Xenopus tropicalis: one gene and its partners. The protein of the gene in region 1 interacts with the protein of each later gene in a biochemical or structural test. Links are inferred from orthologs where the notes say so. Each region holds a gene or a part of one and is shown in the gene's direction. Other genes may lie near its edges.

What was found.
Region 2: the proteins of ap1g1 (region 1) and synrg form a complex in vitro, tested with the Homo sapiens proteins (2 studies listed by BioGRID). The link is inferred for Xenopus tropicalis from reciprocal best matches to the Homo sapiens genes AP1G1 and SYNRG.
Region 3: the proteins of ap1g1 (region 1) and clint1 form a complex in vitro, tested with the Homo sapiens proteins (2 studies listed by BioGRID). The link is inferred for Xenopus tropicalis from reciprocal best matches to the Homo sapiens genes AP1G1 and CLINT1.

Annotation. Positions count from the first base shown.
Region 1 is NC_030680.2:59,348,098-59,351,752, forward strand, and holds part of ap1g1 (AP-1 complex subunit gamma-1), read left to right. Parts: intron 1-2,269; coding exon 2,270-2,278; intron 2,279-2,763; coding exon 2,764-2,859; intron 2,860-2,992; coding exon 2,993-3,073; intron 3,074-3,300; coding exon 3,301-3,399; intron 3,400-3,655. UniProt on the Homo sapiens protein: Subunit of clathrin-associated adaptor protein complex 1 that plays a role in protein sorting in the late-Golgi/trans-Golgi network (TGN) and/or endosomes.
Region 2 is NC_030678.2:74,825,674-74,829,328, forward strand, and holds part of synrg (synergin gamma), read left to right. Parts: intron 1-2,490; coding exon 2,491-2,609; intron 2,610-3,655. UniProt on the Homo sapiens protein: Plays a role in endocytosis and/or membrane trafficking at the trans-Golgi network (TGN). May act by linking the adapter protein complex AP-1 to other proteins. Component of clathrin-coated vesicles.
Region 3 is NC_030679.2:13,971,001-13,974,655, forward strand, and holds part of clint1 (clathrin interactor 1), read left to right. Parts: intron 1-1,354; coding exon 1,355-1,463; intron 1,464-2,935; coding exon 2,936-3,100; intron 3,101-3,655. UniProt on the Homo sapiens protein: Binds to membranes enriched in phosphatidylinositol 4,5-bisphosphate (PtdIns(4,5)P2). May have a role in transport via clathrin-coated vesicles from the trans-Golgi network to endosomes. Stimulates clathrin assembly.

The DNA of each region.
Region 1 (3,655 bases):
AATTTCCTCCACAAGGATCACTAAATATATTTAAAATATATGGCACTGTGTGGAATAGTGCATGTTTTTTCACTGATGTGATCAAAAGGTTTTTAACCACTGCCAGCACCACCCTAGTGGTTAGTAATAATAAGTAATAAATAATCAAGGGTGGATTTCCCCTACTAATGTGAAGTTTTGTATGTTGTAGACCAGCTATGTTAAAATATAAGAAAAGGTGAAGAGCATGCAAAAAGTTCCTGGGGGTGTCCATTATGTGCTGTCATTGACTGTTTGTAACTCCTATGTGGACTGGCAACCGACAAGGCTCTGTTTTGCAGTATTCAAGTTTTTCATGCAACTAAATCCTGCCTTCAAGCCAGGAATTAAAAAAATGAGCACCTACATGGAGGGAACTGACAGCAACATCAAAGGGGAGCAACATGTTGCTCGCGAGCCACTGGTTGAGGTTCACTGTTACAAACTTAAGGTGGCCATACACCGGAAGATTTGCTTGTTTAGTGAGGCCGCCAAGCGAGCAGATCGTCTCCCGATATGCCCACCTAAAGGTTGGCAATTTTAGGCTAATTTGATTGTTTGGCCCTACTGACATTTGCCAATGCAAATGGGGTTGTTTGAGTTCCCTGCAGTATATTAATACCTTACTCTTGGTGTGATGATATTTGTTGATTGACCACAACTGTACAAGTGTAGTCCAAACTCCTTAGAAATAGTTTTAAAGCTTTTTCCAGCCTTGACAGCATCAATAACTGTTTTTCTGAGGTCTTAAGAAATCTCTGTTTAAGCCTTAACACACAGCCACAAACCCAGATTTCTCTAGATAAGGCAGAGCATCACATGATAATTATCCCGATTATCATGCCATTGTTTAAAACTCAAATATCCCCTTCAAAGGAACTGAGAATTCTAGAGGGCCACATACTTTGCCAAACACACTTATGTAACTTTGGATCATTATATGCATTGTGTTTGGCTGATTGGTTTAACTTGGTTCTCTATACATAGTTTTAGGACTTGCATGAGACAGATCATCTTATAACTCACAATATATGCAGAAAAAATGAAAATCCAAAAGGGTTCACAAACTATTGAGGTCCACTGTATATTTCTGTTGTGGCCACCTGTTATTGATCAGGTCTTTTATTCATTCAATGGACTCCCCATCATTTAAATGCTGCTTAGAGATCCTCTTCCACCAGTGGTAAAACAACACTCTACGAGGCCCCCTTCGGCATATCTTTGGAGGGCTCCCCCTGTTCCCCAGGCCTCCCTGCGACTGCTTCCTCTATAGTTATGCCGCTGTCTTCCACTTTGTCTGTCTTTTCATTCACTTTTGTTTACCATCTGCCTTAGTTTCATTCTCAATGTGTTTTTTTTCATTGGAGGTCATCAGCCTCTCTTAAACATTTTTGAGAAATGGTAAATGTAAATGTGAAGAATGAAAAAAAAAATTAGAAATGTAGGAAAGACCGTCCAGGGCTGTTCCAAGTGGATCCTCAAAGGCTTGATTGTTAAGGCCTTATTAGTTGCTCTAAAAAGTGTCATTGTTTAACATCATAATTTTAAAGTGGGACTAAACACTCCTAAACATATTCATGTAAAACTGCCCAGAGAGCTTTTCAGAGCACTTTAACAATTTACTTTTTTTTTTCTTCACTTTTCGTTATATATTAGCAGTTTTCTACTGTCCAATCAAAGACACAATAGATATATTCTCAATAAGCCTAGCCGTGCTTTCACATAACCATTTCAAGCACTTTTCTTTTTCTTTCTTAAACAAAGCCATAGGTCTCTGATTTTTAATCCTCCCATCCAACTTGCTCTGTTGCTGTGCTGTTGCTTGGCAGCCTATGTTAGTCTGTACTTGAGTGACTCTCTTGCATACTTTCTGCAACCCCTCTGACCTTTATTACAATTCTTTCACAGTAGCTCAATCACTAGGGGGCTTGTGCTTTAGTATTAGTGGAATGGTAATTTATTCTGGCATTTTGGGACATGTATAGTTGTGCCAAAATAAGGAAAATCTGTTTTGTCACGATTAACTACCGAATTAAAAACTGACACTTTGAGTGGTTCTTTAGATATTTCTGGGTAGCTTAAAATTACCTTTTGTTTGCAAAACATCTTAAAATATCAGACCTTTTGAATGTGACAGCTATCTAAAATATTTTCACATCAGAGCACCCACATGCATGCTCTGCAGATCAGTGTCCCTAATTGCTGCTTCCTGTCTTTTATTCTGTTTGCTTGGGATCCTGCTGAATGGTAGAATGAAAAGGTAAGACTTCTTCTTTTGTATTTCACTGTTGTTTCTGCCCTAGATAGTTGATCTATTGAATGAATGAAATCACTCTCCACAAGTGTAACTTATTTATCAGTCTTTTTAGATATTTTGTAAAGCTAAAAACTAGCCTCCTTTACCACCCCTGTCCCAAATTAAAAAATAACAGAACAAAAACTTGATTTACTGAGGGATCCATTGTAAATCTTGTCCTTCCGTGGCTTATACTCCTAAACCATAACATTGTGCCTGTCGTACTGAATCGTATTACCTTGATCTCCATACACACAACCCAATCTGAAGTTTACAACTAATGCCTACTTTGTAGCTTTAGTCACTCTGTCTGTTGTGGTCAGATTTGTGTTCTGGTGGAAATATAATGTGTATTTGCTTTGAGAGCAGACTGATCCACATTGATATAAATTTTAGCTTTTTGAGATAAAGTTTTTTGAGTCTATCAAACCTTTTTTTTCCCCCTCCAGCTTGTCCCCCAGTTAGTTCGTATTCTTAAAAACCTTATCATGTCCGGGTATTCTCCAGAACATGATGTGTCTGGGATCAGTGACCCCTTTTTGCAGGTGAGTGTGGGTATGTGTTTAAGCTCAGTGACGGTATGAAGCATTTTTATTAAATTCTAAGAGGGACCTTGGTTACCTAATAACTGTTTTTTTTTTTTGTTTGTTTGTTTGCTTGTTTTTTGGACTGTTTAAGGTTCGGATATTGCGGCTTCTCAGGATATTAGGCAGAAATGATGATGATTCAAGTGAAGCCATGAATGATATTTTGGCACAGGTAAGCAAGCAAATGCAGCTCGGTCGATAATAAACTTCTGTATTTTTGCCTGGTATAGCAGTTGATTAAAAGATTTGTTTTTGACTGAATGGACTTACAAAAGTGTAGTATTGGTTTGTTGATTTGTGGATTTTGTGTGGAACGAGAGTAATAGTGCTGTGTGTTCTAGATGACGCACTTCATCAGTTATATAGTTATTTTCCTCTTGTGCTATTGTTATTTTTTAGGTTGCAACCAACACAGAGACTAGTAAAAATGTCGGCAATGCCATTTTATATGAGACTGTCTTAACAATCATGGACATAAAGTCAGAGAGTGGTCTACGGGTATGTGTCACATCAGATCTGATCTTTTGCTTAAAATCACTTTTCTCCCCCCTTGCATAATAACTGCTCCTGCAAATAGACCACCATTGCCTCTTCTTTCTGCATTAACCTGTGCAAATCCCCTTTTCTAGCTGTTCTAAACCTTTAGGCTAATAGTACACAGGTCGTCTTTATCTGCTAGAGTTTATATGCCAGTTGAGAAATAACAATCTGCTGCCGTCTGTTCCCTGTATGTGAGTCCTCTGACATGTTTGGG
Region 2 (3,655 bases), on another chromosome or scaffold:
GGTCCTCGCTCCAATGGCTTCTATTCCCATTTTTGTTATCTAGTTGCTTGGCCCTTGAGAGAACTCCAATATCACCCACCTTAGGTGGGGAAAAGATCTGCTCATCTGGTGACTTTGCCAAACATGCAAATCTTACTGTGTATGGCCAGCTTTAGACCTTGACTGTAGAGAGCCAAAAATATTTTTTAAATATTTGTCAAACTTCGTAGGTCATATTTTGTCACACTAAGGGCAAGGGCACACAGAGCGTAGCTCTTGTAGATTGTAAGCTCTTTTGGGCAGGGCCCTCTTCACCTCTTGTATCAGTTATTGATTGCTTTATATGTTACTCTGTATGTCCAATGTATGTAACCCACTTATTGTACAGCGCTGCGGAATATGTTGGCGCTTTATAAATAAATGTTAATGTAATGTAATGCTTCTATAATCCCTGTGTTTTTCCATCAGTAAATACAGTGAACAGGGCACTCCTTTAGAAAAATGCTAAATTTATTTAAAAACCCATATAACAAAACCCAATTTATAAAAACCGAAACACATGGAGGCACTCAGATGGCCCACCACAGCGAGCACCCTCATCCACGTCGTGTTTTACAGGCGGACCTACACTTCACTCGAGTTTTAAAGGTAAACCTACGCTCTGCATGTGCCTGCACTGAGGTGGTTAGTGTCGTTTCAATGCAGACACATGGAGCAGCGTAGGGAAGTGGATCTGCTTCTCTCAGCCTGATGGAAAAATGCAGGGCTGAGAGAAGCAGATATACGTTCCGTATGCCCTTGCCCTAAGTACAAGGTCACACAAGGTGGATTGTCAGTCTCTATTAAAAATACTTCTAGTTGTGCCAGCATTGATTTCACCCCCAGGTGCAGGCACACGCAGCCGATATCCTTCAACAAGCAGCAAGTCTTGCGTTTGTCAGCGGATATCAGCTTTGTGTGCACTCGTGGGTGCAAATAGCCTCAATATAATAAATATATATATATATATATATATATACACAGTCCAGTCATCGGCACTCACCAAACGCTGTAGTAGAAGGCCGGGTGCGCGAGAGTAATCATATTTGCTCCATAGAAAGCACTCACGGCATGTACGGTATAAACAAAAAACGTTATTGGATTTCCAAATCTACGCGGATCGTCGTCAGGATAATGACAGGAAGTGAGGAGTGTCTGCTTTTCAAATAAATAGAGAGTAGGCAGAGCAGGGCATCCATATTTTTGTTCTTCTTTTTTTTCATTTCTCCTAAGATTTATTTTATGTATTTTACCCCTTTTTTCTAATTTCTCCTGAGCTTTTATGTCTTTGTTTCCCCCTCCCATGCTGTTTTTCTGTCCCTCATTCTGTTTTGGTCTCCTAGCCCACTTAGGCCTGAAAAACATCTCTGAAATGCACTGTTGTGTAAACAAGTGTTTTCAATAGAGGTTTCTGTGACATTTGCATTTCAAAGCACAAAGACAGCAGGAATCTAAGTCATAAAACAGGGCAGGACTCCTCAGAATAGACGGTAACATCAAATTCTCTGTGCAGCAGAAAAAATAACACTTTTTTTTTTTGTTAAAAAAATAAATACTTAATTAGGTACTTCAGACAGTTACTCTGAACCTGCAGTTATTGTCTATATAGGGTGAATCTTAGAGCTACCCATCGATTATAATCTCTTTTAGGTAGGACCCCTCTCTACTTCTTGTACAGGTTATTTTTGTATTTAATCTGTAGGTTCATGGTATACATCCACTTATTTTATGGCACTGCGGAATATGTTGGCGCTTTATAACTTATTGTTAATAATATCAGTGGAAAATAGTGATCCCTGTGGCTAACAGTGAGGGGGGTTTTAAGAGACAGTAAGATACCCATAACCTTTGCTTGTCATAGATTTTTTTTTTTTATTATTAATTAATAAATGGTCATTTTATTCCTGATACTTCTGATTTTTGAAAATTCCTCTCTGTAACAATAAACCAGTGCCTTTTCATAATCCCAGCTAAGATATAATTAATCCTTATTGGAGGCAAAACATTCCTATTGGGTTTATTTTGGTTAATAGGTCCCATACCTATATATGTATTCTAATATATACATAAATGTTCGTGTGTATACTAAATCTAAAGAGTGGTTTATTTTCGAAAGCTTGTGCAATACTGCAAATAAAATTACAATAAATGTTTGGATCATAGTCTACCATTCATTGACACCATTTGTGTCTGTCTGTTGTGTATTAATGTTAGAAAGAGAAATATTGCATTTCAAGAAAGGATACACTTACATTGATTAATTTATTTCCTGGGTTCTACATAGGTCTATGAGTGATTTAAATAACACAGGGACAATCAGAAAGTACTAGCTGTTTTTTGGTGGTTATTACTTTCACAACTCTTGGGAAAAATGAACTGTGCAGTGTGTACAAACACATGAAAAATTTAATACTTGTTGTCCGTTCTTTTGTCTTTTTTGAATTTTGGTGACACTGGTATGTTTTGGTACAGGTGGGATGCAACAGCAACCTCAAGGGTTTCCGCTGATATCAGTGATGCAACCAAGCATGCAGAATATGATGGGAATCGGATATGCGGCCCAGATTCCACATGGGACCATGGCTTTGCAGGTACTATTCAATAATAGCTTTGTGTTTATTATTTAGTATTTATGAAGTTACCTAATAAATAGTAGATAAGGTTGAAAACGGGCACATGTCCATCAAGTTCTGCCTGCTTTCCAAGTAAATCGGAAAACCCTCAAGCAGAGCAGTCAACTTCTAACTATGTTTGGCCAAGGGATATGCGGCGCCATCGCACTGCTGCAAATTTTTTCAATCCTGAAGTAACATTGCACGCATGTGCACAACCACTGCCAAAGCCACAGAATCTGCACTGTGCATGCGCACATTGCTCTGCTGATGTCACTCTTAACACAGGGAATTAAAAATAGGTCTTGCTGCTTGGGGTGCATTGAGAGAGTTTAATGAGACTTGTAAATGAACAGGAAAGAACCAGTAGAGTAGAAAAATAAGTACCGTATATACTCGAGTATAAGCCGAGTTTTTCAGCACTAAAAATGTGCTGAAAAATTAACCCTCGGCTTATACTCGCGTATGTGCTGTTGGTCGGTGTGCTGGCTGTTGTGACTCGCACCACCTTCCCCCGTGGCCGGACGTGGGTGCGCGTTCGTTTGGGTGCAGGTGCGCGCACGCATGTAAGGAGGGCCACCCGTATCTCACCTGACAAGCTCCAGCAGCCCATTTCCCAGGCTGTGATATCGATCAGGTTGTAGGTGTGTTGGAGGGGGCAGAGAGAGAGAATGACAGAGAGGGGTGCGACTGTGCCTGCTTCCCCCCTACCGGGCCACACTCACTCGCACAGCTGGGCAGCCTGCCGGAGCCGCAGGGTCCTAACGCCGTAATCTGACTCCCTCTCTCTGCGCTGAAAATACTGCCCCTTGCTGCATGTTAACATGCGTTCCATTCTAGAGCTGGAAGCAGAGTGATTGTGGTGAGTAGGACGTTTAACCCTTTATGCTGCAGGATTGGTGAATTAAGGGATCACACCCCCCCCCCCCCCCCATTGCAGAGCCGGTGCTAAAATGCGCACAGGGTCAACGGGACGATTTTGGGCATAAGTGCAGTGTGAGGTTGTGCTGCAGGGGACGTTTTGG
Region 3 (3,655 bases), on another chromosome or scaffold:
TAGTCAAGTCAAGACATGATAAGTGTATGAATAAGATCTGTCATTATCTCCTGGCTCATAGTTCAGCTTAGGTGCTGCTTATATTCAGATGAAATGCTACTGGCTTGGTACCATGGAGCTCGTTATTGCCATTGATCTATTTAATTGAGATACAGGTATCGGATCACTTATCCGGAAACCCATTATCCAGAAAGTTCCGAATAACAGAAAGGTCATCTCCCATAGGCTCCATTTTAGTCAAATAATTAACATTTTTAAAAATGATTCCCTTTTTCTCTGTAATAATAAAACAGTACCTGTACTTGATCCCAACTAAGATATAATTACCCCTTATTGGGGCAGAACAGCCCTATTGGGTTTATTTAATGGTTAAATGATTCCCTTTTTCTCTGTAATAATAAAACAGTACCTTGTACTTGATCCCAACTAAGATATAATTACCCCTTATTGGGGGCAGAACAGCCCTATTGGGTTTATTTAATGGTTAAATGATTCCCTTTTTCTCTGTAATAATAAAACAGTACCTTGTACTTGATCCCATCTTAGATATAATTAATCCTTATTGGAGCAAAACAATCCTGTTGGTTTTAATTCGTTTCATTAATTTTTTTAGCAAACTTAAGGTAGGAGATCTGAATTACGGAAAGATCCCTTATCTGGAAAACCCCAGGTCCCGACTATTCTGGATAACGGGTCACACACCTGTATTAGGTATTCACAAGAGATCTCACTGAAACAGCTCTAAAGTGGTTAAAAATGTAGTGTATTTGTTTGTGGCCCAGGGCAGTGCAAGTCTGACTAGTGACCTTACAGCTTTACAGTTGGTTATAGAGCTGAATTCGGTTTGGAGCAATGACCTTAAAGGCATATCATAGGATGCTTATTTCCTATTTATTTGAGCTAGAAGGGGGGAGAGGTAAACCTGCCTGCCTGCTTAGGAAGATAGCATAGAGAGAGTTGTTGCCCTTTACTATGCTGTGGTCCTTGCTAGGCAGGTCTGTCTAAGCCATTGGTATGATATTGGGTGACCAAATTCAGCAAAAGATGCTCTCATTTGGCCAGTTTCAGGCTCCATTCTTATAATGCCCCATGGCATATTATGATATTGGTGATTCCTGTACTGTGTGGTCATAGTTGTTTTTGAGCTACTGCTCCCAGCATTCTCCCAGCATTGTCCAATGGATCAGCACTAAAGGAAACAGGCTAAAGGAAAGCAGTGGCAGAGGTTGGGAATTTATGCCATTAAATTAGTATTGGATTGTGTTACATTGTGATATTAAAGGGCTTGCCCTTCTGATGGCTAAATTATTGCTGCGTTGTCCCTGTGCTGATTTCATCTTCTTATTCTCTGCAGTCAATGCTGTTGCTGGCATACCTCATACGGAATGGATCGGAGCGGGTCGTCACAAGCGCCAGGGAGCACATTTATGACTTGCGATCCTTGGAAAATTACCACTTTGTAGGTGAGTATTAGAGAGAGAGAAAAAAATAGATGCGTGTATTGGGGGGGGGGCTTAACAAGGAAAGGGGAGCAAATTAAAACAGTTGTTGGACTTGTCACTCACCCGAACGTCTTCACAGACTGCAGAGACCTAATTGGCCCCGAGCTGCTTCAGGCTGTGAAGAACAGATTCCAAGATATGGGGCCCTAGAGTATTAATTAGCAAGGAAAAAAACTTTTGCCGAGAGGAAAAAACCTAATAACAACACAAGCAGCACAACATGACTGGCCTAGGTTTATATTAAAATATGCACCAGAGGATGGTCCCCTGTGGCATTAGAAAGAAAAGGGAGTGCTTTAATTATACTCTGGGAAAAAGTCGGTCCTCCAGTACAGATGCATTGCTGTTTGAAGCTGGGTCTATTCTCTTTCACTATTCCCCCACCCAAGCCTTAACCAAATAATATTTACAGTGCAGAGGAAAGTTGGGGTGTGTTTTGAATGCATTAAAATTTATATTTAAAAAAAAAAAAAAAAAAAAAGAGCTGGTAAAGGGGTAACTGCCAGAATCTTGCTCTGCTCGCGTGGAGTAGCTGTACCGCGCAGAGGCAGGTTATCAGTAATTAGGAGTTGGTGGAGCGTTGTGTGTTGTCTGCCCAGTAAAATGTGTTAATTTGCTTGAAATAAGCTCTTTGAGCATGATTTAACATATTCTTTAGCAGGGGAAGGAGCAGAGTTGCATTAATGAGCACTGGTGTCATTAATCCTCTTCTTTATCCACCCCATGTCCCCACATCTTTACTTTAAAACCCTTTATTTGGCAAGCACACTAACAGTATGGCATGTAAAATGTGTCCATATAAAAGGGTTGGTTGACTCTAGACTTCTAGAGTGCTTGCCTACTGTCAAACTTTATGCCTGAGTAGCATGAGTAGAGTTGATATTACAGCAACTCAATAAAACATGACAGCTCCTTTTTCAGATTTAATGCCCATTTTTAACATTACAATTTACATATAAAAGGCAAACCAGACTTTGGTTAAGCTGGCCATACGTGAACCCCTCCAGTCTAAGCCAGCAGCTCATTGGCTTGTGTATGGGGGCCTCTGAAAGGCTTGTCCAAATTGATCCTATTGGGCATGTTTGAAAATCTCACTTGATAATGAAGTGGTTAATAATGGATGAATGAATAATGGATAATAATTGGACCCCAGTGGGTCTCTCTAGGCCTGTATTATGATCAGATTAACTGCAGGGCCAAACAAGTGGGTTAGCCTCTTTTGGCCCACCACATGGGTGATGAGATTGGGCAAAGAGTGCAAAGTCTTTGATATATAGTCTTTGATTGCCATAAACTGGAAGATCTTTGCTTGTCAGTATTGATCATGCAGGGCCATATATGGAATAATAAATATTGACTGTTTTATCCTGAAACACAAAACGTGTTTGGGCCAAATACAGATCTGATGGTATTTTTTCTCACCCCCGCACCAGATGAAAATGGGAAAGACCAAGGCATTAACATTCGGCAGAAGGTAAAGGAAATGGTTGAGTTCATCCAGGACGATGACCGTCTCAGAGAGGAGAGGAAGAAAGCCAAGAAAAACAAAGACAAATACATTGGAGTGTCTTCAGAAAGTGCCGGGGGGTTCAGATACAGTGAGTACCGTGTGTGTTCTGCACGTAGCGATGAACGGTGGGCTCTTTGTGATTATAGCATGGCATTCATGGGCATACTGCAAGGAAAGATCTCCTCTTACGCACAAGGACCAGTAAGCATGCATACACAGGAAAGATTTTTTTTATTTTTCTTTGCAGTGGCTGATGGTCTTTAACATGAAAGGCAAGAGGGTTAACCCACATAGGTGGTAATGAAATATGTATGTACATGGAATATACCTACTGAAGGTCAAACTGGTTCACCTCCACCCTTTAGTATTCCTAGTGTGTAGGTTCTTGAAAAGGAACACACAGTGGGCCTTTACAGACATCATTATTTTTGGCTGTCACTGTACCACTTCATCTAAAGCCTATACCTCTACATGCATAAATCTGGCATTGCCTCTGTCAGGAATGTCCTGCTGGGTGCCTGCATTCCTATGCGGCCTTTAATCCCACTGTGTTAAATGGAAATACACAGACATCTTTTCTTTGCGCTGGTACTGAGTATTTGCATCACAGCCTTCTAAAACAGTGATCCCCAACCAGTGGCTC